Drosophila melanogaster: one gene and its partners. The protein of the gene in region 2 interacts with the protein of the main gene of each other region in a pairwise test. Each region holds a gene or a part of one and is shown on either strand. Other genes may lie near its edges. The genes, in order: CG42493, CG43732, CG13603 and Eglp4.

Region 1 (7,599 bases), on a different chromosome or scaffold from region 2:
CCCATTCGATAGAAGCAGCAGCAGACGGAGCTCCACAATCTTATCGGAGCTGCTCTTATTGATTAATATAAAGATACTGACAGCCCAATCGACGCAGTGCGGCGGGTATCTGTATCTGTATCTAAATGGGGAAGGCTAAGCACAGGCCCTCCGGAGTTCGTGGAGCACCTTTTCCACCTGGCCGGCGCTTCCAGCTGACATATAGAGCAAACAAAAAGACACAATTATTTTTTCATATTATTGTTATTTGTTATAATACGAGATAGGGGGCTCCTTTTGGACTGTCCTATCTGACACGCATTTCTCTGCCTTTGGCGCCCTCTCAAAGGCGATAAAGGCGGCATTGAATGACTGACAATGCACTGAGCGAAATTCCAACGCCGCGTGTGGAAAGAAAAAGCTTAGCCCCAGCTATTTGCGCACTTAGATAAGCGCCTTTTTGGCAGCACATCAAAAGTGATAATCGATTGCTTTTCAGGTGGTTTTTGTTTGCTGCTCGGGGTTTCGGAAGCATTGTTTTGGGGAGCGTTTTTATTGGGTGGAATTATCGCGAAATGGAATTTTAATGGTTGTTGTTTAACGAAGAGTCTTCCGGTAATATTTGTACTTAATAGCCATACTTAAACATTTTTGAAATGGTGTGTTTAATAGAGCAGCTTCTTGAATATGTAGTTTGTTATGCTTGCACGATTTAAGTTAATAATTTAATTTATATCATTATTAATTGTTGTTTGTATGCTTGTTTATGATTATTTTATTCTTCGTTCTTGATTATAAATAGTTACATTTAAATGAACTCTCTACTCTTTATTGATTTTCGCGACCCAATAGCTGAGTTCTAAAGTTGGAGCTCCTAGTATTCCAGCTTCGAAAATGGGAACCCCCACGATCACTTTCACTGCAGTGCGACCAACCCGAGCACTACCACCTGTCATTGCAATAGCTTATGTCAACCGCAGGTGACCCACTTGTATTGTAGATCCCCTGACTCCGCATATTATACCATCTCATCTTGCAACTCATAAAGGCCCCGCAGGAACCAGGGCTTTATTTTTGGGTTATATGCACAGAGAACACTCCCTTTTCCACTGGCTTTTATCGCAAGCCAAACTTCCGCTCAGTGTATCCCCGCCCCAATTTTTATGGAGCGTTCTGCGGGCAGTTGAGCGCCAGGCGGCCTTTTTGTGATTGTGATTGTGCTGACAACAGAACCCGGCGAAGAAAGACAGCCGACGAGCTGTTTATGATGATGATTTGTGCCATGTGCCATATGGCATATGCCACATGCCATATCCATGCGATGCAAGTTACCATGATTTGGTGTTTTGGCTACGTCTGGGCTGGAAAACTGTTATAAACACCACTGTTTGTGCTGCATAATTACTGCCTGTTGTTTATTTCCTGTAACATGCAAGGCGAAGCCCTCCCATAGACCGCCCCGTCGTCAGAAGACAAACAGAAAATAGGTCTATTCATGGGGGCTTATAAAGCTGTTCCGTTATTGCAAAACGCATTTTGTCTTATCAGTGAGGCAACTGTCGGCTAAAGAACCCAAAAGGCTCTCGGAATATTCCACATTGCGAAGCATTATATTTGTCTATCAACAGATACAAAAGACTGGTACTTGTTTGTAGGTCTACTTACTCAGGCAGTTTCTTAGCTTTTCCTTACCAAATTTTTGAGCAACTCTGGATTCCGTGGGCCAATATCCAGTCATTTTCTTTGACCTTATTTAGTTTCCATAAGTCGAAAATGTTTAACATTCCGTTGTGCAAAAACAAAACTTAGCAATAGGTTTGCTATTCCAGTGAGCTTAAGTTCTAAATTTGAAGACGTAATGAGCTTTGCAAAGGTAAATGAGGTCTTAATCGGGATCTTTAATGTAAATATTTATATCAAAGGAATTCCAAATATTCACCATGAACCCAAAAATATTCCACCATGTTTTTGGATGGATATATATTCAACAAAATACAAATTTAAATCTTAAACATAAATTTAAATCTATATATTAGTATTTTTTATAAGAAATGCAATTCAATTCGAAAAACATACTTTTAGTTCATTCCCGTTTTCACAGGGTACCATGGCGTCGATTATATGCGTGATTTTGCAATCGGCGCATTTTGTTGGCGCAACCCCACGGCACGAGAATCAAATCAATTAGTTCGCTTGTCAAATGCCATGTTGTATTTTGGATTAACAACTGAAGCAACATATTCGGCGATATCGATAAAACGATAACAAACGACGCGTGGCGGACTCAACTGTACTTAGAAGCACTTTAACCTTGTATTTTTATATTTTGCCCCGCTAATATAATCATACGTGAGGAACCGAAAAGAAAGCAAATAATACCTAAAGCTTGACCATAATTAAATTTACATTGGCAACTGATGCTATTTTTGGGTATTTCCGCTGGGAGGGGAATTTAAAACCGATCCGTTCAGCTTGACTCTAATCCAGTTGACCGTCGCCACGGTCTATTTTGGATCCTTGGTTCCAAAAATGAAAAGAACCTTCGCTGTCCACGATCGTTATCAGTGTAAGATAGGTCAGTCCCATTTGCTAACTGTTGCAGGAGTACAGTTGCGGTCAATTGGCTAATACAGTACGGCCTCGATGAGCTGAGCTGAGCTGTGATTACACAGCCTAATTAAAATACCACCTCGATAATTGGGCTGAAGTACGGGTACTCAATGCCTCCACTCGATCGCACATTTTGCAGTGCCGAATTCCCTTATCGATCGATCCGGGCGAACGACCCTCACTGGGGTCTCAACTGTGTACCCTCGTTATGCAAGTCCCTGACAGACTTTGGCCAAATATTTTAGCCATGACTAGGCCAAGAAGGCAAGGAATGCTAACTGCTATCTGCTATCAGCTATCTGTGTCGCTTCCGCGTCACTTGATTGATCAAAGAATGTTCACGCAGGCAAACCCTTTTTCGCTTCTTGTCGCTTTTGCGTTGTAAACCAAAACTTGGCGATCTGAGGGCCCGACACTCGAGAGCCCCGGCGGCTGATGTTATGTCTGATTTGGAGCTGATAAAATGCCAGGGCGTTTATTGTATTTGACTTGATTTGTTTGGCATTGTCTCTGTCTATCTAATTGCTGTCTACAGAACTAGAATTCTCGGAACTGCCGATGGCCAAATACTAGAGACGAGTGTGTAGGATTACGGGCTACCACTAACTGTAATTTCAGTTAGCTGGACACTCGTTACACCGACAGGTGATTCCGTTTCGAATGGACTCTTGGCCTCCAATCTATGCGAGTCCAATTTTATTCATTCGAGTCGCACATGTGCACAATTTCTGAATGTGTTATTGTTTAACCTAATTAAGAATTAAGCATAATGTGGAAGAGGTTGATATAAATGTTTACATCTCTCATCGCAGACATCTTGAAAGATTCTTAAAAAAAAGTATGCAACAAAAAAATTGTGTTCAAAATTTGCACAATAGTTGTGATGCTGGATAATATTTTCTTTGAATAGAAAACAAAATAATTTCTAATCCAAAATAAAAACCAAGAGCTCCGTCATTATCTTTCAGTTTTACCGACTTTCAGAAAATATGCATTTAAGAAAATTTTTGTATTGTTGGCCATTGAAATATGGCGTTATTACTGTGGGCATTGCTTTTGGACTCACGGACTTCATCGTGGGCAGCATTGCATGGGACATGGTTATCAGAAACAAATATCCAGACTATGTGGTCGAGTTCTTCAGAACCATGGACACCCGAATCTGTGTGTCCGGATTTGCCACCGTTTTCTGGTTGATGATGACCAACCACTTTCTTTTGATCTATGCCGTCTTTTACGTGAGTTCGAATGAGTTTATGCGAAATCTAGCAAATCCTATCTCAAAAATCCTTCTAAACTCAGCACAAACTTTTGATAATCGGAACTTGGCTGTTGATAAACTACATGGTATTTTTGTTCACCCTTGTCACCGTGTTGTTGGATAGCTTGCTAATCCTTAGAATAAGTATGTTTGTTGGGATTGGATGTGTTATGACCAACTATAACATTTTTACATTTAAGTTGCCCTCGGATACTGTTTGATCGTGGTGAAGTCCTATTATAGTGAGTTGGCTGAGTCTCAGGAGGAATCATCCGATTCCAGTGAGGAATCAACTAGTAGTGATAGCGATTAAAATGCCTCAAATGTAAGCATTTTTTTAATTCAAAAGGCAATAAATTCGATTTATAAAGTATAAGTAGTTTTTTTTATTATATGAACTAAATACCTTATTTATGCATTAAATCAAATAACCGATAATATCAATTTTTGATCATTTTTCCGAACTCAGTAGGCTGTACCCTCCCCTTTTTGAATCGTCGCTTGTTGTGTGCTTGTCTTCCTCTTTCCTGAAAGGCAAACAGGATTAAGCGATAATGAAACTGCACTTTCCGAAAATGCCGTCAAAAGCCCCGCTTCAGACTCATTAAAAATCCATTAAACTCGATAAAAATGAGAGGGAAGCAGGCTCCCCAGAAAGAGCGAGACAGAAGGCGGAATAAACATTTCTTAATAAGCTTTACACACAAATGTGGAGCACTTGGTGACAGTTCCCACTGAGTTTTTCGGTTTTTTTCCCCCCAAAAAGGGTGAAGTCAACACAGGCCAAATAAAAACAACAAAAAAGTCGAAAGTCGAGGGCCGGCCACTTAAAAGCTCATTTTGTGAGTGCATTTCGATGTTGCATTTGCAAATAAATCATTCGGTTTCCCATTCGGATTTCATGCTGCTCATGAGATATGCAAAAACTCGACGAGTAAATCAGCTTCCAAAGCGTTTTAACTACAAATGAGCCAAATCAGCGCCGATCACGAACAGCTTATGGTCACGCATTCATTATGAATTAAATCGTATATTAACGGATAATCCGATGGACTAGTGATACCCAAAATCAACTGGTGGGATTTTATATAAGTAGTGCGGCGTTCCTAGTGCATGAGTCACACCTAAGTGACCCCTAATTAAGTATGTGATGAAAGCAGGAAACAGGGTATCCAAATAATCACTTCCTTAATAATATTTCTAAAGAAATATTCACTTACTTAAGATACATGTGTCACTTTGTATAGATGACTAATACTTTGAACGTATGTCTGTTGAACGTCTACAAACAGCAGCAGCTATTTAGAAATAATCTAGACACCCATTTCCTTTTACACAATATTTATTTTGAATAAAATCATTATCATATAAGTATTTCGTACATATGAATAAGTGACAAATATAAAGTCCAATTGAGAGCACAATGTTTCCTATCACAGTCCACTTCAGTGTTTACTGCAACGGTGAGTCATCGCTTGAGCCCATAACCCATGTTTATACTAACATCCAGTTATAATAAGCAGGTCTTTAGAGAACCATAAAACCTATTTACCAGATACAGCTACACATAGCAGATACAGTTGCAGTTGAGTTGAATGACACCCTCCTCGAGTGCAGCCCACACTCTGTGTCAAACATTTATCAGGCAATCGATAAGGAAAGGAGCTCCCCCGATTCGATCCGATCCGCACTGCTTCGCTCTACAAAGTTGGGGATAAAGTTATCAACGACATAACTCCCGATACAAAGCGGTTGAGTTTGGTTTGTTGTTCACAACTTTGTTTAATGATTGGCATAAAATTCACTTTCCGACTGCCTGCCGTGCGTTTTATGCCCTGGATCTGAATCGGGGTCGGAGTGCTAAAACTCCTGATCCAAGCTGCCGACTGGCTCCTCTAGAATTTATGCGGTGCCATTAAAGAAGGTATCCATAAAACGCTGAGCTTAATTAAAACGCCACGTAAGGCGGACCCACTAGGATGGCCGTTTAAAGTTGAGCTGCAAATCGCGGGCAAGCAACCTATATTTATGGCTACAAAAATCGGCATCCTTTTTCAGCGCCTAATGAGATTTTCACAAAAGCAAAAATCATAATTTCCACGCGCAACCAAGCGCAACAAATTGCCCTTTTGCCAGGTGGGCGTTGCACTTGCCACAGTTGCACACCCAGCTAGTCACACCCATTTCGAGAAAATAAAAGAGAAAAGCGGCAAGCTTGAGTGAAATAATATGCTTTAATAAGATATTTATAAATAGATTCAATTATATTTTTCGGGAAACTCACCTTGTTTGGACCTTGACTGCGTTTTTAACTGTTGATTACCTCACTATTTGACTTGGGGAGATTTTCATATTCGTTGGGTATTAATTCCTTGTCAGCTGACAAGCAAAATCGTTCACTCTCACTTTTAACTTCACTTTGAAACCAGCAGAATGACAACATTAATTCCTAGATTAAGTGGCCTTTTGGAAAATAAAAAATTTATGGACGCTCCTCTAATGAGGAATTTAAAAGTGAAGTGAAAAAGAGAATTTCCGTGAATATGAAGTATACACGGTTTGCTTGCCAGCGAAAATTGATTTATCATCGTTCAAAAGCAAATATCTGAACGAATGCAGAAGGAATTTCATTGTTCTAAATCAAAGTCTGAAACGCGTCCAAATAAATCTAATCGGTGTGGTCAAGGAAAGAAGTCATTTCGTTTGTGTTTTCAATTTGATTTAATACGCGAACTGTGAATCTGTTTTATGACGTAAAGCTAATGCAGATTAGGAAATCAATCCACTACAACATTTTTGGCTTCGTTCACAACAAATTGCCGCAACGATTATCTATTGAGTTGCCACAGGCAAGTTGGCAAATATTAATAATCCGCCGCGTTGTACCGCTTATGCAATGAGCCGTGGCAATTACACATTTCTTTGCGATTGCCCGCCCATCGAGACGTAAGCAATCTAGGGGCGCTGAAAATCCGATAACCGAGTGGATCATTAAAATCTGAAATTTTCTGCACATTTAACAGGCCACAAGATACTGTATCTGCGGCTTCTTGGGACATATCTGTCTGGGTTCGCATATCAATTTCACCCCAGGACGATCTGCACCCCAGGAGCTTGATATCTCGGCGGTCAGGGCTTGTGTCCTGAACCCTTTCGTCGCATAAGGCAACTTAATTCGCTTCCGTTTGCCAATCCAAACAAAAAAGAACAAGAAGAACGCATAAGGATGAGTGCACTGAAAAAAGAGTTTATCATATCATGTTATTTTCTTTTAGCTGAAAAAATAATTTCTTGTTAACAGACACATATTTTTGTCACAGTAATAGTGTTTCGAATTTTATATCCACTATATGGTGCTAATTGTCATATTTTTGAGTACAATGATTCATTTTAAATTAGATTCATATTTCAGAATGTTTTCCTAGCTACATCGGTTTCAGTGTAGCCTCTATTGCAGGGGAGGATTGGCAGTCCTTTCGACAGCTTCCCCTGCGCCCCCCCCCTCCTGTCTTTGACCCTCTGCTCAACATTTGTGTGTCAGTTTCGCGTCTTTCCGCTTCCGTTTTTTTTTTTTCTTACATGCGACTGAGGACGGCGACTCGACCCAAAGCGACCCCATAAATCCGCACACTGTTTGTCTTAGATTGCCCCACTCCCGTTTTCCATCTCCAGCTGTCCTTTCTCGTAACTTTTCCTAGTCGCCAGTTGTCCTACACACATTTATTTTCCTTTTAAATGTGCTTTTTGTG
Region 2 (9,506 bases):
AAAAAGACACTCTATTTCGTTCAATATATTCAATATATTAAGAAAGGCTAACTTTAGGAGATTTCTTATCATTTCCTTGTTATGAGAGTCATTGCTTCTGTATGTACATATGTCTGTGTAAGCTTTTCCTTTTAACAGTTCGATAACAGCAAAAGCTCATCGCTTACAGTTACATTAATATTACGTATACGCGGATGCGACAACCAATTGACAGTTACACAGCTAAAAGCTTTTACGATGTAAGCTTGCAATCCTTTACAGTTTTTACCCAAGGATGTAGAGCAAAAGCTCTGTGCTATAAATTTAGCCATTACAGATCTCGTACCATAAAAGTACCATAAAAATTATTAAAGCAAATAAACGAATATTTTGATAAAGATAAAATTAAAGTACACAATGAATTTGGTCAACTTGAGCTTAAGTCTGTAGTTAAAAAACAATACCAAATCATAGTAACATCATTTTTTAACACAAATAAATACACAAGTTTTTAATAAAGATGAAATTAAATTACATGTTAAATTTTTGTCGGCTTACGCTTACTTCCTTTGTAAATAAAAACACACAAAACTTTAGAAAACGTTGGAAAAACAAACATTAACCCTCGGTCAAAACCCAGTTAAAAAAGAGAGTCGGGGATTTGGCTGATTGTAAAAAACAGCAAAAGGATTGCCCGCCGGCGTTAACCGAATGGGCGTGCCAGTGGAAATTGATTAAAAGAACAAGAACCCAAATGCTTTGTGATGCTGTCCGCATCCCTTTCGGCTTGAAATCCTTGCAACAGCGTTGTTGGGGTCGATAATCAAAGCAATGGGCTTATCAAAACTTAATGGCGGACAGTTCGAATTGTCAATTTAATGTGCACACTATGCTTATTGGTTTTCAACATCGATTTAATGGCTTTGTTGCCGTTTTATATCTCATTTCAGGGCACAACATGGCCTCAGCACAGATACGACATTTCTATAACACACCAACAACAATTTCTTCAACAACAACACGACAACCTTTACAACAACAGCAGCACACGAATAACTGCAACTGCATCAGTCGGAAGCAATTTCAAAACGATACGTTTCTGTGCCACACACAAACACAAAGCGAATCAGAGGCAGCAACAGCAACAACAACAGCAGCAGCAACATTATGCCAGTCAACACTTGCGGCAGCAGCAACATCAGCAACAGGAACAACTGCAACTGCAGCAGCAACAGATGATGTACCAGCCAGCGAATGTCCGCAGTCCTGGACCACAGATGAGAACTCTGACAGCGATAGAGACACCCAGCACAGGATGCGCAATCCTTTGGACGACATTGCTGCAGGCCGCAATGTTGCTGTTCTTCCTGTCGTGCAGCAACAGCAGGACCTGGCTGATACTGCTGCCCCTTTGGTCGCTTCTACAGGGATTTCGGAGCAGGATCGCCTCGCCACGAGCACTTGCCTATCACGCCTATCTTCCAAAGTCAGTCAGGACTCTACGAAACAACAACGAAAGCTCTATCAACACGGCGAAGCCACAAAGGACTACGCTGCTGCGGCTTCAACGACTCCGGCAGTCGGCATCCTTACGGATATGCAAAAGTTTGCACGCTCTATATTTCCGCTGGTTATCATCTTCAATCTGCTGCCTTTATTCTATGCAGGTGAGTACTTTTTATTTACTAGATTCGTTGCAAAGTATTTAACAAGTACATGATGTACCTCATGTTTAATTGTTAAAAATATGGGTTTACTATTAACAGCTGAAGAAGTTTTTCGTCTTCATGAATTTTATGAATTTATTTGAATCCGGACTTATAGTATCTAAATGTAGCCACATCAAACTTTAATGGTTTAGCATGGCACTTTTCCCTTTAAACTTCTGTGAAAGTTGCTGCTGCCCTCCATAGTCCTGCTAAAAAATGTGTAACTCTCAACCAACTCATGTAAAACAATTTTCCTACGTCCTAATTGGCAAGTCTCGAGTGTCCACTAGCTGGCTTTTAGCCTGCCAGTTTTAAAGACCCCACTGAGTGCTCACTGTAGTCGTCGGCTGGGCTGGTAAATAAATAATTGAAACTGTCGAAGAACATTTGCAAATCTGGCCAAACAACAACTGAGCTCATTATTTATGTACGCAGCCAAATATGTATCGACTGCCAAAGGCAATGGAAAAAAATTTAATGACCGGCAAAAGTGAGCGTCCCCCGGCAGGAAGGAAGCAATCCGCTCCGGCACCCCAGTCCCTGCCCCTTTCGGATCTGAGTTATCTCTTTTTCATTTTCGGTTTTTCAAACTCTTTGTGTGACAGTTTTTATATATATATATTTATTTTTTTCTACATTTGAGGGGCTGGTCATTTTTCAGAGCACGCACAAAGGCAAATTTATAACAAAGTTGGGGTCAAACGGGGCTGAGGCCGAGAAGACAATGCGCTAGGCGGTCTTAATTGCTTCCCGGCCGCAAAAACAATAACAGCATATTTCTGGAAGAACCCTTTTCGAGGTCTTTGTTGCTGCCTTGGCAAACTTATTAATTAAACGCGCTCATAATTATTTAAGACCGGCTGCCGCCGGAGCAAATTCAATCTGTGATCATTGCCCCCGATAGGCAGAGCTGCAGTAATCAGAGTTAGAGGAGCAGAATCCCCCCCCTGCTCAGCTGCCTAATGTGGCAGAAGCGAAGGCAAACAAAAGCGGTGCCATTTCAAAAGAAATCAATGACAATTCGTTAAAGTTCCTCCCCGGGGTAACCGCTCTCCAATTTTCCAACCCATCCCACAGAACACTTCCCAGGACATCATCGACATTTGAGCAGCGATTAAAGACAATTGAAGCCGCAGATGCAGAGGCAGCATAAGTCTGCTGCTTTCTTATCAGTTGGCAGAGCTCTCTGGCTTTTCCACTCTCTCCATCGTTATCTCTCTCTTGTGGAAAAGCTCGCGCCTGCGCTGCCAGGCCAACGGTGTTATCATTTGCCAAGAGATTGGCGCTTATCAGTTGGCCAGTGAATGTTTGCTGGGTTATCCCGCCATTGTTTGGCCCAAATAAATCGCTGACTTGGCATGCCGGACGGAGCAGGGAAAGTCAAAGACGCCAGTGCCCCAGGCACAGGTCAAAGTATCTGCGATTCGATGCCTCGGACGAAGAGCAAGAAAAAAAAACAAAAGAACACACTGCCATTTATCTTGGGCGACGTTTTTGCCCTAATGAGATTTGCGCCAAATTAAATGAAATCGAAAATTAGGTGCGCCAAGCTCGTTGGCAATTTAAATTGAAGGCGGCAATTATCCGCACAAACGGCCAAGTCGGACCAAAACGGGAGGAGCATAATGAGCAGAAGCCGAAGTTAAACAAGATTCTCACCTGTCAGCTTTGGCACCACCTGATGGCCTGGCACCTGGAAACCTTCGGGTTTCACCTGAAATCTGCCACCTGCCAGCTGTCTCGAGTGGCGGCTTTGGTTTTGGCTTTGGATGGGCGATTAAAGCGCTCGTCGGCCACTCGAACAAACAGAATCGACGGCTCATTGAGCCGCAGCCAAATGAAATCCGGTGGCAAACAACTTGAAGGATCCACTCGAGAAGGAGGCGGAGGAGGAGGAGGCTGCGCCAAGGAGTCCTGGGGTCCTGAAGTAGAAAAAAGAAGTGCACAAAAACGAAATCATAGATTCAATTTGATTTATTTCGCTGCCGTACTATATTGGCGTTGGACTAACAGCCGTCTCTCGATTCAAATGGCAGAGCTTTCACTTGATGTCATCGCGGCGTGCTCTCTCGCTTTTCCTCCGAATTTTCCTCGCATTTTCCGACTTCACTCTCTGCCTTAAATGCCGTGGCAGCAGCCGAGCGTAGTCAGTCGATTTCAGTCGGCCGTGCGGCACACACACTCGCAACGCGCTTTTCAGCCAGCTCAATTCAGCTCCGGATTCCGCTTGCCACCAGCTTTTGAACGCGTCATTAATCGCATCGTGTGACAGGAGCCTCGAATCAGTTTTCCCAGCAACGCGCGCACTTTTCCCGCTTTTGACCACCGATTAAGGTCTCTTGTTCTTTCCGCCTTATCGCTTCGTCCTGTGCGTTTGCATTTTAATGTTTGCTTAAGCATTCCGTTTCGGTGTCAAAATCCAAAATCCAAAATCCGGCCAAACCAATCCCGGCGATAAGAAAAACCCTGGCCTGGCAAACGGAGAGCTCAACGCGGAATTGTTCGACACAAAAGTGAATTACAAATCAATTGAGAAAGCCCTCGGCAGCGAGACGTAAATATTCAAATGGAAACCGAATTACATATTCTTTTGAAATTGCCTTGGCTATGGTGCACAATTGAGATATTCGGCATTTATAAGATTGTGGAGTGGGCTATTTATGGTGATCAATCGGGGCAAAAGGCTGGGAGGTATTTTGCAGAATCACTTGGTAGGATTAAAGACATTTAAACATCATACTCGCTTAAAATTAAACAATGATGTTTGAAAGTCAGCAAAACCACTGCAATATTTAAGTTATGCCTCTTTTGTGCGCGTATACAATTTTAAATGCAAATGTTTTTTGGCAAACAATTCCAAATAAGAATACCTTAATCATTTATCACGAATGAAATTATTAAATGGAATTCACTTGTATAACAACTAAAATGAAAGTCACTCCGTGCTGTGTATTGAATTATTTATTGCCACACTTACAATGCTGCATTTCCATTTAATATCAACCTATGACACCTATTCCTTTGACCAAACGAGAATGGCCATGTAAATTGATTCTTGGAATCGGTCCACATGCCCATACGATTCACCAAAAAAAAAAAAAAAAATGCTCATTTCAGCAAAATTGGGTTTTATTTGCATTGAGCGAATGTTCCTTCGGATGAGTTCACGTTCAAGCTAACTCGCCATTTTCAAAAGCAAACATACAAATGCGTTATTAGTTCACATGCACAATGGCCATACATTCCTAATCGGTAACCCTGGCTGCTTTTTCTTGGAACGTCCTTAAACAGGAGAGGGCAATCTGGGCAACGAAAGGTTACAAAACGAACTGGAGGCAGACAATTGTTGGGGGATTTACAACATGGCCCTCGTATTGTTTGCAATGCAGCAATAAGTCTGGATAAATGCGGAAAAGACAGAAGAAAAAGGGACGATGGTGATGGCGATGGAAATGTGTCCACGGCAGTTATGACAACTTCTGCTGGGTCTCACCTGTTTCACCTGTTCGCCAGCTGCTTAATTGGAGTCACAGCCAAAGTCCGGGCGAACTTTCCGATTTCCGTTCCTGCAACGCGTGCCACTGACAAGTGACAGCTTCGATTTGAGGCAGGAGTAAACGCATTGCTCATCTTCCAATTCATTTTTTAGATCTGAATATACTCTTGTTTGATCCGAAAAAAAAGGGAAATGATCTGCGAAATAAAATTGTAGTTTTACTAGCAGAAGACGTGTTTTTCCGTTTACACTTTCAGCAAAAGATTAATTGAATTGAATGCAATATTTTTCAAGAGATTTATACTTTGATTTTCAACGAAACGATTTTGTTTAAAAATCGTTATTTTCGTTCACGCTTATTATAAACATGCTAATAACGGCAACCAATTATTCTAACCAATACTCAATATATTTGTAAACATTTTGTAAATTACTTTCCTTTTTAAATTCCGCTCACGTTTCACTATAAGCGATGGTTTATAGTCAGCCTGCCTACCTGAAATTGCAGCTTATTTAATAATTACTCACGAAAATCATTTTCGTAATTGACTATTTCTCACTCCGATGTCTATCCATACAGTCGATCATCAGATGAAAGTGCTTTCCCAGTTTCTTTGCCATATGCAAAGTAGTAAACGTACAAAAAAAAAGTGGGATTCAGTTGCAATTTGCATGCAGTTCGGCAATCGCTGCGAAATTGAAACGTGCCAAATGTGCAAACAGAGGGCCGCAATCGTTTTCCACCTTGTTTGGATAGCCAACCAGGTGATAAGCAAACATAACCCAAAGGGACTCCCGTGAAAAGTCGACTTGCGGGGTTGGCTGGGTTTTAAACTCAACCCTTTTTTCTTTTTCTTCGGCTAAGGTGGGCGGCACTGCCACTAAATCAGGCTACTTCCACCAGGTAATAGAGAGATACAATTTGCTACGTGTGGAAAATGCGAAGAAAGAAGAGACGAGTAACTTTGCAAATAATGTTACCCAGCCACTCGAATGTTTAGGAACCTTTACGCATAAATTATTTATTCATTTGCCGTCGCCGGGTTTTTATATGCATCGTTAAAATTTCTGTTTGGAATCTCAAAGTGAATTTTCGGGTCCGGAGCGAGCACCTTTGACCCGCCCCCCCCCAAAAAAAAAAAAACGGAAATAGGGTTTTTTACGTTGGCTATTTTATAATGAGCTGCACTGGATTCGCTTTCACAGTGCTAACCCGTTGCTCATATGGTTTTCCTTTGCGCCTTTGGTTCCTTGTTCAATTTTCACTTTTGCAAGCGATTTTCCCGACGGCTGCTCACGAGAAAAGCTACGTGCAAAACGGCTTTGAGTGGAGGGTGTGGTCTCCACTTTCGCAGCGAAAGTGTTTATTTATTTCAGTTTGTGTGCTAGAAATAAGTTTTATTTCCGTTTTTTTTACCATTCCGAACCAAAATTATAATAATAACCTGCGGCTGCGGGCCAACGTTGCGTATGAGCGATGTTTTTTCAAACCATATTCCCATTGAAAACGCCGACTCGAAACTAATTAGCGCCCTGTACGCCGAGTTCTTGTTGTTTTGAAGGCTTTCCGCAGCAGCATTGGCTTTTGCCAGTAGAAAGTAGCCAGCGTGTCCACGTCATGTGATATGAGCTGGGAAAATATTGTTAAAAATATGCTGCAACTTTTTCATTACATCAACTTGACGGCTGCGAAGTGAAAACTTTTTAGCAACCAGCAGGAGCAGGCGGAAAAGCGTGGAAAAAGGGGAAAGGCAAGCGGCTTTGCCAGCTGTGGATGCTGTTTCTTTAATTTGTATTTAGTTAGCGGACGATGCTAATGAGTTTGCTGATTAAAGAAGGGATCGTCTTTTGATGTGCCACCTCTGGAATGAAATTTGCACAAGGCTTACCAGCTTTAAGACCTTGTTAACTGGCGAAAAAACAAAAGACATAAATTATTTGGCATGCGATCAAAACCACACTCGCAACCTTTTAGCTGGCATCTCCTGCGTGAAAAAGCTAATACAAACTGGCTGAGCCAATCAATTACGAGTAGTTCCCAAAGTTCAAGTCATTCTCACTTAGCTACAGCCAGTCTATCAATCTTCTAATCAATCTGAACGGAGCAAATAGCCAGCTAAAGTTTCGTCCTTAGCATTATGAATTTATGGACCGTTGGGCAGTCGAGTGAAAACTATGCCGATTTCAATAAAAATCATTAACCGAGCGAGCACTCAAAGGCCGATTTCGATTGAGTTTCTGTGCGGGTGGGCAGAACTTTCCGACACATTAAATATGAATGAAATGCCACGGTAATTAAGCCTAAACACAGAAAGATAAACAAACCGCGAATGGTCGTAAAATGCGATGAGGTGGCGCCAATCGAAATGAACTTCTTTGACCAAACACATTTCCAATCGAATTATAAATAAACAGAGGCTGCCACAATGAAATAAGCGCCGACAGGAAGCCAATTCAAATAGCCCCAGTCAGCCACTGTTTTTCGCCAAATACCTTATTTCCAAATTCCAAATGGAATTGGCATATAGCGAAGGCCTTGGGCCTTATGGCTGATTAGCCAATTTGAATTTTCAATATTTCCCGGAATCTAAACTTCTGTTTGGTAAACGCGTAATATGCCAGCGTTGTTCTGCTTACAAATTCCCATTGTTTCCGCATCCGAAGAAAATGAATTCACTTAGCCAGAAAGATGTGGCTTAAGGCGAGAATTTCATTAATCTTTGTCGCGCGTTCCTTGGCATATTAAAATATCTCTTTTGTGATACGTGAATGCATAAAATGGCAGACAAACGAGAGTGAAGCATCTTTGTGTAAGCTTTAAAAATCTCCCCCATAAAAGCCAACGTGAAACATGCAACAAGCTGGGTCAGGAAGCGGGCCAAAAGAAGGCCACCACCACCCATCAGCTACTGTGTCGAGGCTATACCCACACACTTCCACTGACACACACACACACACACACACTAACAGGCACACATACACACGCCTGCATACGAGTATAAGCCCCATTCATGTGGGTTACAATGAGGGCCAGACGCTTGTCCAAGGAACTAAGACAAAGGATACACAGAAATCAAGTTTAACTGCAGTTGAAGGCGGAAACGTGAGCCTCACACGTACACTGAAAGAAACCGCAAGAAAACATTGCAAATATCATTATTACCTAACTTGTTTGCATACTTGCGAATAATTTTATCGAAATGCTAAAGAGCTTTGTTGGTAGTAAGGAAATTGTTCTAAAGGGTATATTTATATGGACTTTATTGAGCTCAAAATCATACATTTATTTCGCAATGATTTACACTATTTAAATCATTTTTCTTTTCTTTGAATATTATTTGCTTAAATAAAACATGACACCATCAAAACCAATTTGAACATGGATGGATATTAAAATTTAAACAAATGCCTTTTCACACAAAGCCACAAAAAGTAATTCATACGAAACCATTAATGCAGAAATCGTATCTATCACATTTAATTGCATTTCCAACTCGTTACCACTTATTAAAATAATTTAATTTAATATGAATAGATGATAGAGTATTCCCAGTTTAACATTTTGATCTGTCTGAAAATGGGCGGAGTTACACCTGACTAAGTATTGGTACCAGCTTTTAAATCAGATACGTTCGCTGGTAGTTGCCAAGTGCCGCCTAAACAAGTGCAATTATTTTAATGCACTTTTGACTTGTGACATGGCAAGACAGCGCAACAACACGGCGACAGGCTTAAAGCAGTGCTCGAGCATTTATGCGGCTATTGTCCTGCCACACACACACACACACACACCTATGCAGCGTCACAAAGACAGTCACAATCGGGAGCACACAGTTACAAACACACGGCACTCGGCGGAGAGGACTCCTTGAGTCGCATCTGCCAAGGTCGCGGCGTGCATTTGAACTTGACAAAGGATAAAGGATTCGCTCGGCATTCGCCTGGCGGCTTTAATTCTGCATGCAATTTCATAAACGTTTCGCTCCCCTTTCAGTTCAGCAAGTCCGTGCAATTTTCCATAATTTTTTTTTTTTTTTCTGCCCTAGCATGGGAAGTTAGGCCAGCGTTAACCCTTCAAACGATTCGCTGGCGAAACAAATTGAATTTATGTGCCAGCGCACACGACGCCACGCAGAAATGTTGCCAACGTCACTGGCAATGCCTACGCACTCCAGGGCGCCATTCTTCTCATCCCTTGCCCCTTTTTCCATATTTTCCCTACGCATGCCACCCCTTTGGTGGCCACGACATGGCCCATTTGTTCTATGACCTCTTACACACTCCTTTCCCCGTTGGCAGTTCGCCTTTCGCCAGCATAAACA
Region 3 (8,108 bases), 5.0 Mb from region 2:
AGAAACAAAAAATGAAAGAAAAAACCAAAAAAAAAACCAACTTATTTTGGATATCAAATCCGATTAGTGGAATGAGAAGAGTACAGAGGAGACACAAAATCCGAAAAACTACAATTTCAACTTTAAAACGCTTATAAAGAAAACAATTTTTGAAAGTTTTATAACTAATTTTACATTACGTCTTATGTGAACGACACACCACACGCCTCATGGTACTACCAACTATGTATTTATATAGTGCTAGTACCAGGAGCAGTTGAGTATCGCCGGCCAGGGAAGGGTCGAGTGCGGATCCCTTGCCCCAGCGGCTATTCGCCTGCGCACTCGGTCCATCCCTGGCTCACTACACGAAGCGACGGCGTGGCCCAGTTGGGTGCGGGAATAGCCGGATCCGGCCTTAACAACCGGAAAAACCATTGAGCGCGGGACGCACTCGGCTGTAGGTACGCCGCCCAAACAAGGTCACACCGAGAGACACACGTCCACGAACAGACCAGAGTTCTTCCCGCAATCCATCAGACACGCACTGCCATGGAAAGGTCACGGAAATCGCATGGCAGTGTTCACCAAAATCCAAATCCAAGCCCAATCCGTCCCTAGTCCCGCCCCTTGCGAATCCGCTTGCGGATTTGTGGGGGTGGGGTGTGGGGCGGCTGGGTGGGAGTTTGATCATAACACAAACACGAAACCAAACCAAACACCACCACCCTTTGCGTTCGGCAAATCACCTCCGGCTGCGATTAAGGGGCTCAGTGCCAGGGGTTAATCGGAGCACACTCGACCGATTTCCGTGACATACGTCTCTAGCCAAATGCGGCAGAGATCGGAGGGCGCGCCCGACGCCACCAGTCGTGGGCTATGCAATGGATTGAACGAAACATGCGCCAGAGCCAATTTTTATATTTGACCATTAAGAAAAACCTATGATTTTGCTTTACGATTCGACCCACTATCATCCCAGATTGCGTAGCCTCCGGCGTCCTTGGCGACGCGACGTCGTCGTCCGGACCATCCTCCAGCACGCCTTCCAAAATTGGCGTTCACTGGATCGATTAGCCCCCAGCAAATTGAATCGCAGCCCGCAGGAGATTTGGTTATTATCGCCTCATTTCGTACAAAGAGAAACCGCAACAAGGAAACACTGCACATCGTTTTTTACACCCTTGCGTTATGTTTTTTGAATGTATTTAAAAACAAAAACAAAATGAAAAACCAAAACCAAATAATGAAAAACAAAATATGAAAACACACAAAACACTGAAAAAAAAAACCAAAAATAGAATGTAAGTTTAAATAATATGCTATTCAAAGAAATCCAAAACATGATTACCCATAAAACAAAAAAAAACGCAAAAACTAAAAATACTAATTATAGTACATACATTGATGTAGTGTTAATTGTAAGATCCCAGGAAATTGTTTCATGAATGCCAGAAAACAGAAAAACAGAATACCGATACCAAACTCCAAGCAGTCGTAGATGCAGATACAGTATCGATGAGATTCAGCTGCAAAGCCCGTAAATGTACAAGTAACTATTTTTCTCTATACCAAAAGTAAATCTCCACCATTTTTGCTCCACATTTAAGAAACAAACTCGGTGCAGGCAAAGATTGAATTTAGACGCAAAAATACAGCGATCAGGGGCTAAATGCCGTGCGATCAAGAAATTTTTAATTGAATTGTAACAGACTACGCAAGCAAATACGGAATTTAATATTAAATGTACAATAGCGTCGCTTTAAAGTCTATAAGAACATTTTGTTGCAATGCAAACGTGAAATCCAAACCCAAATCCGTTTGACATTACGACAGATTCGAATGACATCAACAACAAGAAAACACACACAACACAGAAGATAACTGCAAAATAAATGTAACTGACATAACATGTTGCATTGATTGTTTCATTTCGAATGCTTGGGATTGTTGGGGATGATCCGCAATACGTAAGTATCTTTATAAATGAATGATTTCAGAAATATTAATAATTTGGTTTTACTATATTTGTAACATGGAATAATTAATTAAATACATATATATATATATACATTACATATCACGTATGTTGGCTTAATACATAGGGCTAATATCTCTAGTTTCCTTCACTACAAAGATAATGTGTGTTGCCGGTTGTCTGCCTCAATGATAAGGACGAGGACGAAATGACATACAATGATTATAACGCACATGATGAGAAATACGTAGAGAATTACAAACTGCTGCTGATTGATCACAAACGTCAACTATTTGTTCTGTTCCGTGTCGGAGGATGCGTTCGAAACGATCGGCGGGGTCGACCTGCCGTCGTACTGCTGCTGATTCACCAACCGCTGTCGCTCCAAGTACATGGAAACCTTGATGTTGCGCACCTGGTGGTTGTCGATCAGTTTCAGAAGGGCGATGACGGCGATGCCAACGGAAATTGCGAATGAACCCCATGCGCCAAACTGTAACAAAAATCAATAGAAGTGGTTAAAAGAGTTTATTAACTTAATTTCGCATGCACAACTGAATATTTGGTTTTACATAAAAATATAAAATATTACGTATACGTAATCAAACATTCAGAATTGCCACAGAAAGCAAAAAAAAAATAGATGAGAATTTTTTTTTTGTATCATCTTACCTGAGTGGTTCCCATTTCAATGTAAAATCCGGAGGTGTTAATTTTTTCCGTGTCGCCGTGGATAATGTTCTGACCGGCGGAAATGGCACAGGATGGGAATCTCTCGGTCATGGAATCGCACCAGACAATAAAGCCCAGGGTAATGAAAATAGCCGACAAAATGGACATAGCCAGCATCCAAATGCCCAGAACGACGTCAATGAACAGAGCTATAAACGAGGCCTCCTCCTTCATGCGGGCGTATCTATTTGGCAAAGAAATTCACTTTCTAGATGTCAAAAACCCCGAATAATACCCACAAGATACATACCTATAAATCTGCACCACCGAAATAATTAGCAGGAAGAACCCGGTAATCAGGGGAAAGTTGCAGAAGCCATTGGAAGCCCACTGGACATCGAACATGCCGTCCTCCTCCCGCCATTTGCCAGTTGTAAAGAGCAGGCAGTGGCCACTGTGGGAAAATAGAATAAAGAAACTCAATAATTTACAGGGGACCAAAGAGGAACTGCGCACTTACCAGAATTGGTCGAGGTTTATAAACAATGGCACGACGATGCACAGCGACAGGATAAACAGGATGACATGGCCAGCTATCTGGCTTAGCTGCAGCACGTTGGCCAAAGCCATTTTGCTTTTGATTTCAACAAAAACAAATGAAACTCCACAATATTCAGACAAACACGGCAATGCACTTTTGGTGTTATCGATAAGCAGTGTTGGACAGCACCCTGCAGCTGCCTGCATTGGTATGCGCAATTATCGATATATACACCCTGGGGCCATCATTCTCGTTAAGCCATCTCTAGTTCGCCACTGAACTCGTAAAAAAGTGTAAAATTTGTTTACATTGAAAAAAGGTAAAATATTGTTCTTGAGGGCTACCTACGGTGCTCCCTGGCTCCTAGATGGGTCAGCCAAGACAAAGGGCCGTGTGCATGTGTGGCGCGTAGCCCTTTATAAGTGCGGGGGGTGGGGGGAACAGCCAGGGCGAACAAAGAGCAATTAATGCAATAGGAGGAGGGGGGCTTTCTCCTCCGATTTTCCCCACTTCCCCGAATTTTCCAATAGAGGCTGTTGTGAAACCTAAGGTGAAGATCGCTCGGGCGAATTAACATGGAAATCCATTTAAGAGCACCCTCCTCTATTGTCTATCTCGCACACGACCTTTTGCAGACGCATCAGCGGATCAGCGGACGCAATTCAATGAGGTGCTTATGAGCTAACTAGCAGCAGGACGGCAGCCAAGGAACACGGGGACGAGGTCTGGATCAGTTAGCAGGGAGCCAGGAATCACAGGCTAGAGGTCAGCGCAAACTGGAGGGCAGCAGGTGACCTAGTTTACGCAGTAGCAGGTAAGCCAAGGCCTTGGAATTCGAGACCAGCATTAAACACCACCACCGATTTTCAGAAGACGATTAGAGGACTGGCGGCAGCGTTTCTGTGGCAACTCCTACTGGGGCTGTTCTGTTGTGTTAATTGAACTTAGAGCATCAACGTGCACTGCCATTAGTTGTAACCTCAATATACCTACCTAACGTAATTAGTGAACCAGTTCTGACACAGAACAGCATGTCCAACTCCCACTACAACAACTACCAGCAGCAGCAGCCGCACTCCAGCAACGGAGATCCGGAATACCAGCACCAGCAGATGGTGCACCAGCCGCAACGGTTCTCCAACGGCCATGGCATGAAGACCGTCGCTGTGCCAGACATGTGCCTGTTCTGCTTCGAGGTGCTTGACTGTGAGCTGAACAACGTCGATGGTCCATCGGTGCCGGTGTTTAGCAACGACGCCTACCCACTCTTTGTCACCTGGAAGATTGGGCGTGACAAGAGGCTGCGTGGCTGCATTGGTACTTTTAGTGCAATGGAACTGCACCATGGTCTTCGGGAGTACGCCTTGACCAGCGCCTTTAAGGACTCTAGATTTGCACCTATCTCTAGAGATGAGTTGCCACGGCTAACTGTCTCGGTCTCGATTCTGCAGAACTTCGAGGAGGCTCAGGGCCACCTGGACTGGCAACTGGGCGTCCATGGCATCCGCATCGAGTTCCTCACAGAACGCGGCTGCAAGCGCACAGCCACCTATTTGCCGCAGGTGGCCACCGAACAGGGCTGGGACCAGCTGCAGACCATTGACTCACTCCTACGGAAGGGCGGCTATCGGGCTGCCATAACTCCGGAGACGAGGAAGTCCATAAAGCTAACGCGCTACCGTTCGCAGGAGATCCAGATGCACTACAAGGAGTACCGCGAGTACCAGGAGCGTCGCGCCCAGTTCGGCAAGGTGCAGTGCTAACAATTGGACAGGACGGCGGCGAGGCGATGATCCTGGCTTAGGGCAGGCCTGATGGCCGTCGTCCTCCTGCTGCTGCTAGCTTTTGAGTTTGGCCCAGCTTGGCGGCCGCTCGCTTAATTCAAGTTATGAGTTATTATATCTCCAGCATCAATTTTAAGCCCTCAAAAATTCTCCAAAAACGCGCGTGAGATGAGCGTCTTTTACTAAATATACCATTTAATGCTTCAAATACTTAAGCGGCAGATCCGTAAGCAATTTCGAATGAGAAACATAATGAAAACAGAAAAGATTGTAAGCGCTATGTTGAAACCCATTGCATTCGGATACACCGATCTATGTTGTAGCCGCAGCCTTGCTGGTTTCTTTTTAAATCAAACACACACAAACTAAAACTAAACAAGCGTATATATGGGGATATATATTACCGAATCAATACAATACAAAATGCAGATATATAATTCACGTAAAATGTTCAGCAATTATATTATAGATTTAACAACTAAACCAATTACATTACTAATTCTAATTCTATGCGCATTAAATAAAGGTCGACCCCTTCTGAGTCGCACAAGACAATGCAAAATTATCGTCCGTCTTTCCTCTTGGGGATCGTGGAAGCGAAATGGAGTTTACACCTCAATGTTTTGGCATTACACGTGTTCAATGTATACTGTTTATTGTTCCATTATGTTGTGCGTTGTTACATGGTTTTGTACTTCTAAATCTAGTCGATAATATCGATATATGTTTGGGCTTTACGTACGGAGTAGTCTCAACAAGTTGCTAAGAAAAGTCTGCCTCTTGGATAAATGGCTACAAAAAACTGCGTTACGCAGCAAGGCTAATCAAACAATCTAACAACTAAGCTAGTAACAGGGCAAGTTAGTCTATGGCTAAAGCGGCGAGCTAGCGCTCAATTAGTATAATTACTGGCATACGGTATAAATGTATATATTCAATATATATAGTCAATAGATCGCATTGATTGCAATAAAGTATGAGTCCGTCGCGCTGGCTTCTCAATAAGCAGTGCAATTATAATAGATGGATTGTTTATACACCGCAGCAAAATCGCATTCCATCGGTTTGCATCATAAGTGTACATATAAATTACTTTAAAATTTGTATGGCAGTACAATCAACTTAATGCGGCGCCAATTTCTAAACAGTAAATCAATACGTACTTTAAATAGCTAAGCGAACAAAAAATTTACGTATAGTTTCTTCAGCGTGTGATTCACCTCCAGGTCCGTCCCAATCGAGTTGAGTCTCAGTCTCAATGCTTGCAGAGAAACTGCTCTAAGCACTGGCACTAGGTGGCCGACAAGGCGTTCCACTCGAACCGCGGATTCTTTGAGTGCGTCACCGGAAGACATTCGGGTTCAACCAGCTTCCAGACGCCGTCCACCTGTTCCACCGTTGCCAGGCTGCAGTAGGGGATCTTGTGGATGACTTGGCGCAATTCGTTCGTGCTGCGTGGAACTCCACCGGTCAGTTGACGGGAACAAGTGTCCAGTGTGGTGGCATGGGCAACAACCAAAATATTTCCAGCTGGAATTAAAGAAAATTGGCATTCGAGTATTTTTTAAAACCACATTTGTATAAATTTACTTGTCTGCTCCAATAGCTGGAGGATAACGTCATGGTTACGTTCATAAAACTGCTCGGTGGACTCCTTTAGGCGAGCAGTTAGCTCAGACGCTGGCTGCACCGGCTCATAATCCAAATCAACGTCGAACTTGGCCTCGGTCAGCTCGTTCTTAGTCAGCCAGTCGGGTACACCGCTCGGATACCAGGCCATCCACTCAAACAGGCCCGGCTCCAGTTTGATTTTTTGCTTGCCCGTAAGCTTCAGCCCCTCAAGCGCACTGGTGCAAGTCTGGATGCAGCGATACGAGGGCGAACAGTAAACATGGTCGATCTGCACTTGAGCCTCCAGCAAAGCTTGACCAATAAGATTGGCCTGATAGACACCCACATTTGTCAGCGGAGAATCATTCTGCCAGCCCTCCGGACTGTTCTTCCGACGAGGCAGCGTCTTCGGCATGTTTAAATCCTTCCTCATGTAATTTCCAAACTCATCGAAGCAATATGGAATCCATGTTCCAAAAGTAAAGTCGACTCGCTCGCCATGCCGCATAATGTAGATCTTTCTGTTCTTGGCATGCGAGGCGTCAAGGGATCCGGGATGCAAGGAGTGGTCCGAGTGTACACTAAGTGTGTCATCTGGACGCGGAGGCTGGGCTGCCGGTGGTTCCACCAAGATCTCGTCCACCGGTTGCTTGGACATGGAGGTGGAGGAAGAAGACATATTGGTCGTTATCTCGATCGTAGGCGTGTTAGGGTTATGCTGATGGGTCAAGTTGTGGCTGTTTAGCAATTGCACTGAGGGTAGTTCCAGGCAGGGCTTCAAAGTCTGTCTCAAATACTTCTCCACGCTCTGTTCGGATTCCTCAAACGAAGAGCCTTCAATTATATCAGGATGTGCTGTGTCTGTTGAGAGAGGCAATGTAACTAACTTAATCCAGGATCACTGTATTCAAAATACGACTCACTCTGACGATCGTCGGGCTCCGTTGATATACTGCGTCCGTCCACAATGTCCAAGTCCTCGGCGGAAGTTAATGATGAAGCTACGCTCTTGGAGAGCTGGACCACACGATGCAGGGTCCAGGCGTCCGATTCTGCGGTGCGTTCGGTGTAATTGACGGGCAAATGACCGGTGCTTCCGGTCAACCAAGATATGCCTTCGGCCCAACCGTCACTGGAACTGTCTACTACCTCGGTATTCAAATAGATGTAATCGCCGATTCGGAGCTCCAGTTCATCCGTCTCGTGCGGGTTGTGTGGATAAACTACCTTTTGAACCTGAAAAGTACAAGATAAAATTATAACTCATCCTCGATCGATTATAAGGAGCTCTAACTTGTTTGGTGGCGAGCCGAGGATCGCGGGAATATAGACGAAGTTCCCAATTGGAAGCGCAGCTGGCGTCTAAGGTCTCCACGAGTGCTTTCAGTGCATTAAACTGTGCCTGCGGGAACTGGTAGGCAAGCGTCAGGTGCAGGCTCTTAACGTGTGGCTCGAGTGAGATGGCTACAGGTAGTTAGAAGCTATTAGTAGCCTTTCGCTAGGCGGAACAAACGATTACTGAATGGAAATGAAGGCGGTGCTG
Region 4 (7,929 bases), on a different chromosome or scaffold from region 2:
ACCGCCTTCAGCAGGCCGTAGCCAATGAAGGCGCCCACCATCTGGGCCACAAAATAGGCCAAAGCCATCGGCAGGGAGATCATGTTGTAGACGTAGGTGGCCAGGGTGACGGCGGGATTCAGGTGGGCGCCACACACGCAACCGAAGCACTGGATGCAGATTAGCACCACGAATCCGAAGTTCAGGGCGCTCTGGAAGTCCGAGTTGGTGAACACGGAGTTCTCCACACTGCCCATGCATCCGAGGAACATCAGCATAGCGGTGGCTATCATCTCGGCAAGAACTGTTGTGATGCTGTCCAGCTGGCGGCGCTGCAGCAGCCAGCAGTTGGATTGGCTGCGAAATAGAGAGGAGTATTCCATTTTAGTATTCTTGTGGGTTTCATTGTGTTTAAATTTTTTTGAGTCACTCTTCGAGGATATTTTAGATTTTGATTTTAAGACTTGGAACTTGGTGGATCACCTTGCGGTTGTAGCCATGATTTACGTGCGTCGCGACGAGCGATTGACTTTAACGGAGACGTGGTCCGACGTGGACTGCACTCCAGACCAAGTACTCAATGGTGCGAATCGCATACTCTATCGCCGGCTCTTAATCGCCGGCAATCTCGTCTAATCGCCTTAGGTGGGTTATCAGCCAGCGTTTCTATATACTCATATCTACCCAACTATTGCCAAACATTCGCGTTGGTGTGCTCCATTCACTCGAGTGCGTATGTCCACTTTATGACGTTTTAAGGCAATTCAAAATGTGACAAGGCACTAAGTTAGTGTCCCACTAGAAAGGGGGCTATAAGCCATCTAATCAATATGATTTAAGCCGCCTGTTGTAATGGTTGAAACGCAGAACATTTCATTCGCTATCAAGCTGAGCAATTCTAAAAGGGGCTACTTATCAATGGCCATTGATAATGATTTTCAAAGACCTATGGACCTATTGATATATATGACAAACTCGACAAACTTTCCAGCGAATACGAGCCCCCAAAAAAATGGCCAATATCGCCGCTCATCCCAATTGTATGCTATGGAAATAATACAAGGTGGTGCTTAATTACTTAATCGACCTAAATATTTTGTGGCTCTATTATTACAACATATTCGTATATATATATAGTTTATTCGATAAGATTCAATTCACACCTATTGCACTATAACCTCTCCGATCATTCGTATCTTGGCATCGGAAGTCCTCAGATCGATCTCCTCGTCGCCCTTAAAGGCCATGCGATAGATCAGCGAGGTCACAGCTCCTGCCACCAAAGGACCCACCCAGTAGATCCAGTGGTGTGCCCAGGAGTCGTTCCAAACAGCTGGACCCAGTGATCTGGTCGGATTCATGCTGGCTCCCGTGAAGAGACCCTAAAAGCAACAGACTTCCCATTAAGTAACACTTCGCAACTTTGAAACGCACCGAAATACCAACCGCTGTGAGGATCAGACAGGAGACGGTGAGACCGAATCTCACGGGCACCGAATCCTGCAGCTTGGCGTTCCGTGGATCCCACACCGAACAGGCCACCATGACCAGGCAGCAGGTAATGAGGAACTCGATGAAGACCCCCTGAAGTACGCTGATTCCGGGGGCCAGAATTGTCACACAAACACCCGACGGGTTGTCCACACCCTTGATGGAGTTCCCAGGCAGAACAGCCACCAGGAGACCATAGCCTATCAGGGCTCCGGCAGCCTGGGCCACAAAGTAAGCAATGGCCCGGATCCAACCGATTGCGCCGTAGAGCCAGGCAGCCAGGGTGATGGCCGGATTTAAGTGGGCACCGGAAACGGAGCCGAAGCACTGGATGGCGATGAGAATGGCCAGGCCGAAGGTGAGGCCACTGCGAAAGTGCGAATTCTGGAACAGCGGCGTTTCCACACAGCCCATGCAGGCTATGAAAACGAAGACGGCAGTCGCCGCCAGTTCACCGAAGAAGCAGGCTATCGCACTCCTTTGGTGTCCTTCCAGGCGCCACCTGGCGTTCGGATTGGACTCCTGCGATTTTTGCTTCTGTTGCGACATGCTGACGGAACTCTACTGCCGCAATTTTGGGCGGCTGCCCAAGTGACCCAACGTGCCAGCAAAATTTACGGCAATCAATCAAAATCCATTATAAAACCTTAATGCTAATTATCGAGCGCAGATTTGGGAGCAGCTCCCGCCCACCCATTCAGGATGGATCAATCCATCAAGGCGATTTTCGGGGGGCTTTGCTCAGCCGTAATTATCGGCCTGATAAGCGCCACTGCCATTTCGCCCGATTTGTGCTCAATCTTATCTCATTAAGATCTTTATCGAACGGCGAACGGGGTCGCCGAGACCTGGCCAATACTCGTACTTCTTGTGTGCCAGCCAGTGTCTGAATCGCTACAACAAGGCCAATAAACCTGGCCTATGGTGTTCGAAAGCTACTCGAAGGAATCACCCCGTGATTTCCAGAAATTCCAGAAGAGTGATGCAAATCCAGCATTAGCATATCACCCATAGCACATAGTCCCCTTTAAACCACATAGAACCACATATATCATTTGTGCTTCGTATACGGACTATAGACCCGAATGGAGTACGTAACGTACAATAACTGCATATTGTTGGTATATTTTGGCTTTATTTGGCTGATACGCGCGTCTCATTCGCAGCCTGCTGATAACGTTTTTTAGCCACCATTTGATTGGTCGATTTGGAGGTACTAAGATATTCGAATATCTTATGAACAGATTTTCCAAAGACCGCTTAAGCTGATGGGCTTTTTTCACTTTCGATTCCTGGAAAAAGCTTATTGGTATTTTTAAGCCCGGAAGTTACTTAGAGCTAATCAAAGCAAATACCTCGTTATTGAAGAATGAAAAGCTTTTAGATAATATGGACTCAACATGTTTTAAGATGGCCCAGAAGAGCAGAACTTCAGGTATCAAATAACTACCAATATCTTGTGTAGAATTTCTTAAAACCATAAAAATAATTTACTTGTTTTGTTTTGGTTTTAGATTAAAAATCTCGATGTTCTTTATTTCTGAAGGCAATTAGTGTTTTCACCAAGACGTTTATCGTTTCAAGGGCTTATGTAAGTGTGTGCACTTGGTTCGCCTTTTGAAACGTTCGAGCCACTTTGTGAAGACACTGCTAACATTAGCGTACAACGAATGCATTATTTTAAAATTCGGCATCTTAGATATTAACTAAATTAGTTAGGGCTTTTCCTACAGCAATGTCTTTGGCCTTACGACAGCTGGACGTCCTCCAGTTGCCGCAGCTTCTCATTGGAGGTGATCTCCGCCTCAACCACCTCGCGGCGGAAGACGACCTTGTAGGCGTAGGCGGTGATGGCGGAGGAGCTCAGCGGGGCCAGCCAGTAGATCCAGTTGCTCTCGAAGTGCTTGTTCCACAGGGCGGGGGCGAACGACCTGGCCGGGTTCATGCTGCCGCCGGTGAAGGGACCCTAAAACCAATGGTAGGGAACGAGGTTAATAATCCGTTTCGAGGCAGGTAAGGATTAGCCAACTGTTCGCTTTAACTTACGGCAGCGCAGGCGAGACAGGCGATGGCCAGGCCAAATCGAATGCCCACGGAGTCATGGAACTTGGAGTTGCGCGGATCCCACACTCCGCAGCAGACGATGACCAGGATGGAGGTGATTACGAACTCGATGCCGAGGGCCTGGCCCGTGGTTACGCTGGTGTGGGGCAAGGTCACGCAGAGCCCAGCGCCCACCGTAAGTGTGGGCGAGGGAAGCAGGACCATGAGCAGGCCGTAGCCGATGAAGGCGCCCAGCATCTGGGCGGCGAAGTAGGCAAATGCCATGCGCAGGGTGACCATCTCGTAGATGTAGGCGGCCACGGTCACGGCGGGATTCAGATGGGCACCGGAGACGCAGCCAAAGCACTGGATGGCGATGAGGACGGCGAAGCCGAAGTTCAGCACAATCTGCAGATGGTTGTTGGGAAAGAGGTCCGTCTTCACGCAACCCATGCAGCCCAGGAAGACCAGGATGCCGGTGCCGATGAGCTCGCCGAGGAAGGCGGAGATTTTGTCCAGCGTCGATCCCTTCATTTTGAAGACCTTACAGCAACTGAAATGGTCAGAGAAGCGCTTGAATAATGCCACACTAAAAAGCGAGCTACCCTCTCTGTCGCACGCCATCGTCCATCTCTTTCTCGACTCTAAGTAGACCTGCTTAGGAACTTCATCAATCATATCCTATCTAAGACCATCCTATCGTTTCGCAAAGCCCTCCTCGATTTGCACCTAATCCCCGCGACACACTTCTACAATCTCAACTATTGTGCAACTTTGTAGTTAGTTTGTCAAGCTTCTAGACCTTTGCAACTGCTGTTCTCCTTCGGCTGCCTGGACGATTTCCTGCTGGTTTTCCACCCCTTGCGGATCCATCCCCTGCTGCTCGAGGTTCATTGACTTGGCATCGATTTTCCAAACACCCTTTTTTGGAAGCACAACTTATGCTGCTGATCCGACAAACGATGCCTGCTGCGGGAATGCCATCGATGGCTGGACTGACATGAAGTAGCCGTGTACTAAATATAGTAGACTTGTGATTGCCGTTCGGCTGTCAATTGGGTTTATAGATAAATGGCCGAAAAAATGCGAATCAAATCACGACATGGCCATAAAACAATAACCAATCTTTTTCAACCTTATCGCCTGAGCGCCACTCGAGTCAATTGGAGTTCACTACGTTGCGAATTAATCCGTTTATTGTGATTGGTAAATCCCTCTTTCTGGTAGCCAGAACTCTTGTTTTTTGTTTTTTGAATTTCTTTGGTTTCGAGTGCCAGATAATTACCGAATCTCGTGGCTCATTTTGACACTTGTCCAATTCTTTGAGATCGCACTATATAATCAATCTTTTCCGTAGCTGGTGAAAATTCACAAAGCGGCAGCGCGACTGTCAATGTCAATCTGAGGCGGTGGAGTAGCCATAGGCAAATATTTATATCTGTGTCTATATAATATTGCGTAAATCAAAAGCCCATTTTTAGCCCCTGTGAGAGAGCAGCAACACACACAGATACACACACACACATATGAAGGGGACCGACCACAAGCACACACACACACACACACACACAAAGGCGTGGAAATTAGCGAATCCTACTGGTGAGCATAAAAAAGTCAAGTGTCCAGAATTTATGAGCATCTTAAACGCTCATTCGCTGCTCTCGTTCGCTTTTGCGATTATCTCTGGAGCGATGCTCCTTCTCGCTCCCACTCTTCCTTTACCAGTCACCTGGCTTAAATCATTATAAAATGGTAGAAACAATACGGATGATATTCCATGGAAACAAGGTTAGATATTAACACTTGGTGTGCAACTGACATACTGGTTTTGCTCTATCGAATTCATTCGACTTATTCACAGCATTTTATGAGAATTATAATATTAAAGGTGGTCCTTACATTTGTTTTTTAAGTAAATTATCATTTTCATTTAACTTGTTTCTTACTATTTGTTTGCCATGAGAAAGGCAAATCTGCTAAGCAATGATTGCTAGAATTAGTAGTAACCATAGTTCCTAAAATACGACATTTTCATTGCGTGTCATTCAAACTTAGCACTAAACTGTAATTGATAGCGAAAATCCCCATAATTATTTTCAGTGTAGTTGGTCGGTGGGCGGTGGGCATAACACTGTTATGCTGTGCAAGTGCGTGACGCGCTCGCAATTGAAGCAGGCGGCATATTGCGTATTGATAACAGCAGAGTGGCACACTATCAATTACCACCGTCGCTTCGATTCCTATCAATTGCAATTGCTGCAATTGAGGATGCGTTGCGTGAATCGGGCTACCACGCAATGTGGCAAACAAATCACGGCAAATCTCGGCACGCCTGTCGATCAAATTGCACGCAATTTGCGTAGTTATGTGTCTCAATAACAATTGGATCGTCAATAAATAATAACAATTTAAAGCAAATATTTTCAAAAGCCCTGCTGTTGCACACACACCCAGTACACACAGTGGCTCAGGTGATCAGAACTTTTGACCCTCACTGACCACGCCTAATGTTTTCCATTGCTTTCTCGCCATAACACACATTGGCATTGCCACAGAAAACGGTGGAGAAAATAGCACTGCTGGTTCATTTGCGTTTTGGCCCTTGGCCAACGGCAAATGTTTGTGTTTGGCCAACTCATTGACAGTTGGTTGGTCAAAAGAGAGCGACACGTTTTGGCAAGAGACAAAGAGATTAAAGGCAAAGCAGTAAACACGCGATGGATCGAAAGTTTAAAAATAAATCAAACACACCATCCGATCGGCAGCACAATAATAATAATAATAATTTAATTACCACCTGCACCTTTATCATATTTTCCATGCCCAGAAGGATCACGTATCATCCATGGGATCGCTGCATGGGCCACGATTTTCAATGGCCCGAGGGCCTAATTGACAACAAACCCCGTTTGGGATGATGGATCTTAATTATTATGATCCATTCTCAGCGTTTGTCTAAGTGATGGGACGTGACTGGGCGTTTCTACGTTCATATTTTGGGGAGTGCTAATCGCTGATGTTAACGGAAGTGGGGACTGTTAATTAACAGAGCGGTGCGATAAGAACGGGCGACTCCTCGGAGCTTCTCAAAAGCTCAGCTGCTAGGATGCGCAACTTTAACGAAGCTTCGATCGTTAGCTTTCGGCGAGCTTTTCGATGAGCTTCCTTATCACGCGGCATTATTATTAGCTAATTATGACTAAGTTGGTAATAGAGTGATAAGCCTTCGGCCAGAAGCTCGTCGTAAAAAACTTGTTAGCCTGAAGAACAGCTAATCAATCCGTGCCGATAAGCCTCACCCGCTGTTTGCTGATAGCTGTGGCTGTAGCTGCTTAAGAAGTGATTTTTGCTAGTGGCCCTAAAATGTTGGCCATAAACCATACGCCGCAACCACTGTCACTCGCACTGATAACCGATATCGAGCTGAGTGAGTGGTGATGGTGTATTGGGATTGGCGGTGTCTGGCGGCGCAATATCACAGGCTTAATTTGGCCATAATTGGGCCAACTCAAATCGGATTTACTCGTCAGACTTTTGACATCGCCCCGCATTTACGGCTCTTCCAAAGTGCGATAGTGATCGGTTGCCGACTTATTGATGTGCAACAACAACAACGTATACCCCTTTATGGCATTCCAATTGCCAGCTGGATCGTAATTGAAGCTCATTATGGTGCCACAGGCGGAAGCCTTAGTGCCCATTGACCAAGATCCATGGCAGCCTCTTCCTAGCCCCAAGGTTCTGCTTCTTATCTGTGCGGCTTATCAGGGCAATGGAAACTGCTGACGTTTTGGGTTGCGCAACAGGTTGTTGGCATCGCCACCTCGCAGTGCTGCCCCCTTTTATTTACGGCTGTAAATACGGGGGGCAATTAAGACGTGGTCAACAATACGGCAAGATCCACGCACACGGCTCGAAAATGTCAGGTGCTCTAGCAGCCGAGAAGGTCTCTGATTTCGTGGCTAAAACTGTGGGGCTTCGTCTTATCAGCTGGCCACGAGGTTGGGCCACTCGAAAGGCGATTGCTCAGACTATGATTTGTGAAAGGCATTGTAATGACTAGACAGACAATTTGCTAATTACTGGCAAATAACTCTTATTTCTGTTGCTCTGATAGCACTCGGCAGTGACCTAGGCTACGAATTCCTTTTGCTCTTCCACGAAGGCTGGTCAGCAGTTAATTTATGGTTCGATGTGGCCTCTAATCGTGATATTTTTTATTTTTGCTGGCAATACGTATGTATATGCAGTCCATTTGATAATGGCGATAAGGATGGAGTGACTCTGGAATTTGGCTGAAGCTCATGCATTATGCAACGGCCCCGTCCTAAAGTCTTGAATTGGAACTACACTCTGCTCAATGGCGGCTGGGACACCGCCGTTGATAACCTGCTAACCCCACGGCAGAGCACCTTA

The links.
Region 1: the proteins of CG43732 (region 2) and CG42493 interact in a two-hybrid assay, tested with the Drosophila melanogaster proteins (one large-scale study listed by BioGRID).
Region 3: the proteins of CG43732 (region 2) and CG13603 interact in a two-hybrid assay, tested with the Drosophila melanogaster proteins (one large-scale study listed by BioGRID).
Region 4: the proteins of CG43732 (region 2) and Eglp4 interact in a two-hybrid assay, tested with the Drosophila melanogaster proteins (one large-scale study listed by BioGRID).

Annotation. Positions count from the first base shown.
Region 1 is NT_033778.4:11,775,014-11,782,612, forward strand, and holds CG42493 (uncharacterized protein), read left to right. Parts: upstream 1-3,512; 5' UTR 3,513-3,578; coding exon 3,579-3,827; intron 3,828-3,891; coding exon 3,892-3,994; intron 3,995-4,050; coding exon 4,051-4,163; 3' UTR 4,164-4,222; downstream 4,223-7,599.
Region 2 is NT_033777.3:18,946,362-18,955,867, forward strand, and holds the start of CG43732 (uncharacterized protein), read left to right. Parts: upstream 1-3,834; 5' UTR 3,835-4,242; intron 4,243-9,506. Other genes in the region: CG42613 (uncharacterized protein), read left to right, coding at 938-1,646.
Region 3 is NT_033777.3:23,983,227-23,991,334, forward strand, and holds CG13603 (uncharacterized protein), read right to left. Parts: upstream 3,344-8,108; 5' UTR 3,260-3,343; coding exon 3,150-3,259; intron 3,084-3,149; coding exon 2,940-3,083; intron 2,874-2,939; coding exon 2,630-2,873; intron 2,451-2,629; coding exon 2,247-2,450; 3' UTR 1,987-2,246; downstream 1-1,986. Other genes in the region: CG5902 (uncharacterized protein), read left to right, coding at 4,202-4,933; Epp (ecdysteroid phosphate phosphatase), read right to left, coding at 6,246-6,484, 6,545-7,426, 7,489-7,801, 7,860-8,029.
Region 4 is NT_033778.4:23,604,616-23,612,544, forward strand, and holds Eglp4 (entomoglyceroporin 4), read right to left. Parts: upstream 4,316-7,929; 5' UTR 4,192-4,315; coding exon 3,517-4,191; intron 3,437-3,516; coding exon 3,218-3,436; 3' UTR 2,977-3,217; downstream 1-2,976. Other genes in the region: Eglp2 (entomoglyceroporin 2), read right to left, coding at 1-336; Eglp3 (entomoglyceroporin 3), read right to left, coding at 1,143-1,361, 1,426-2,019.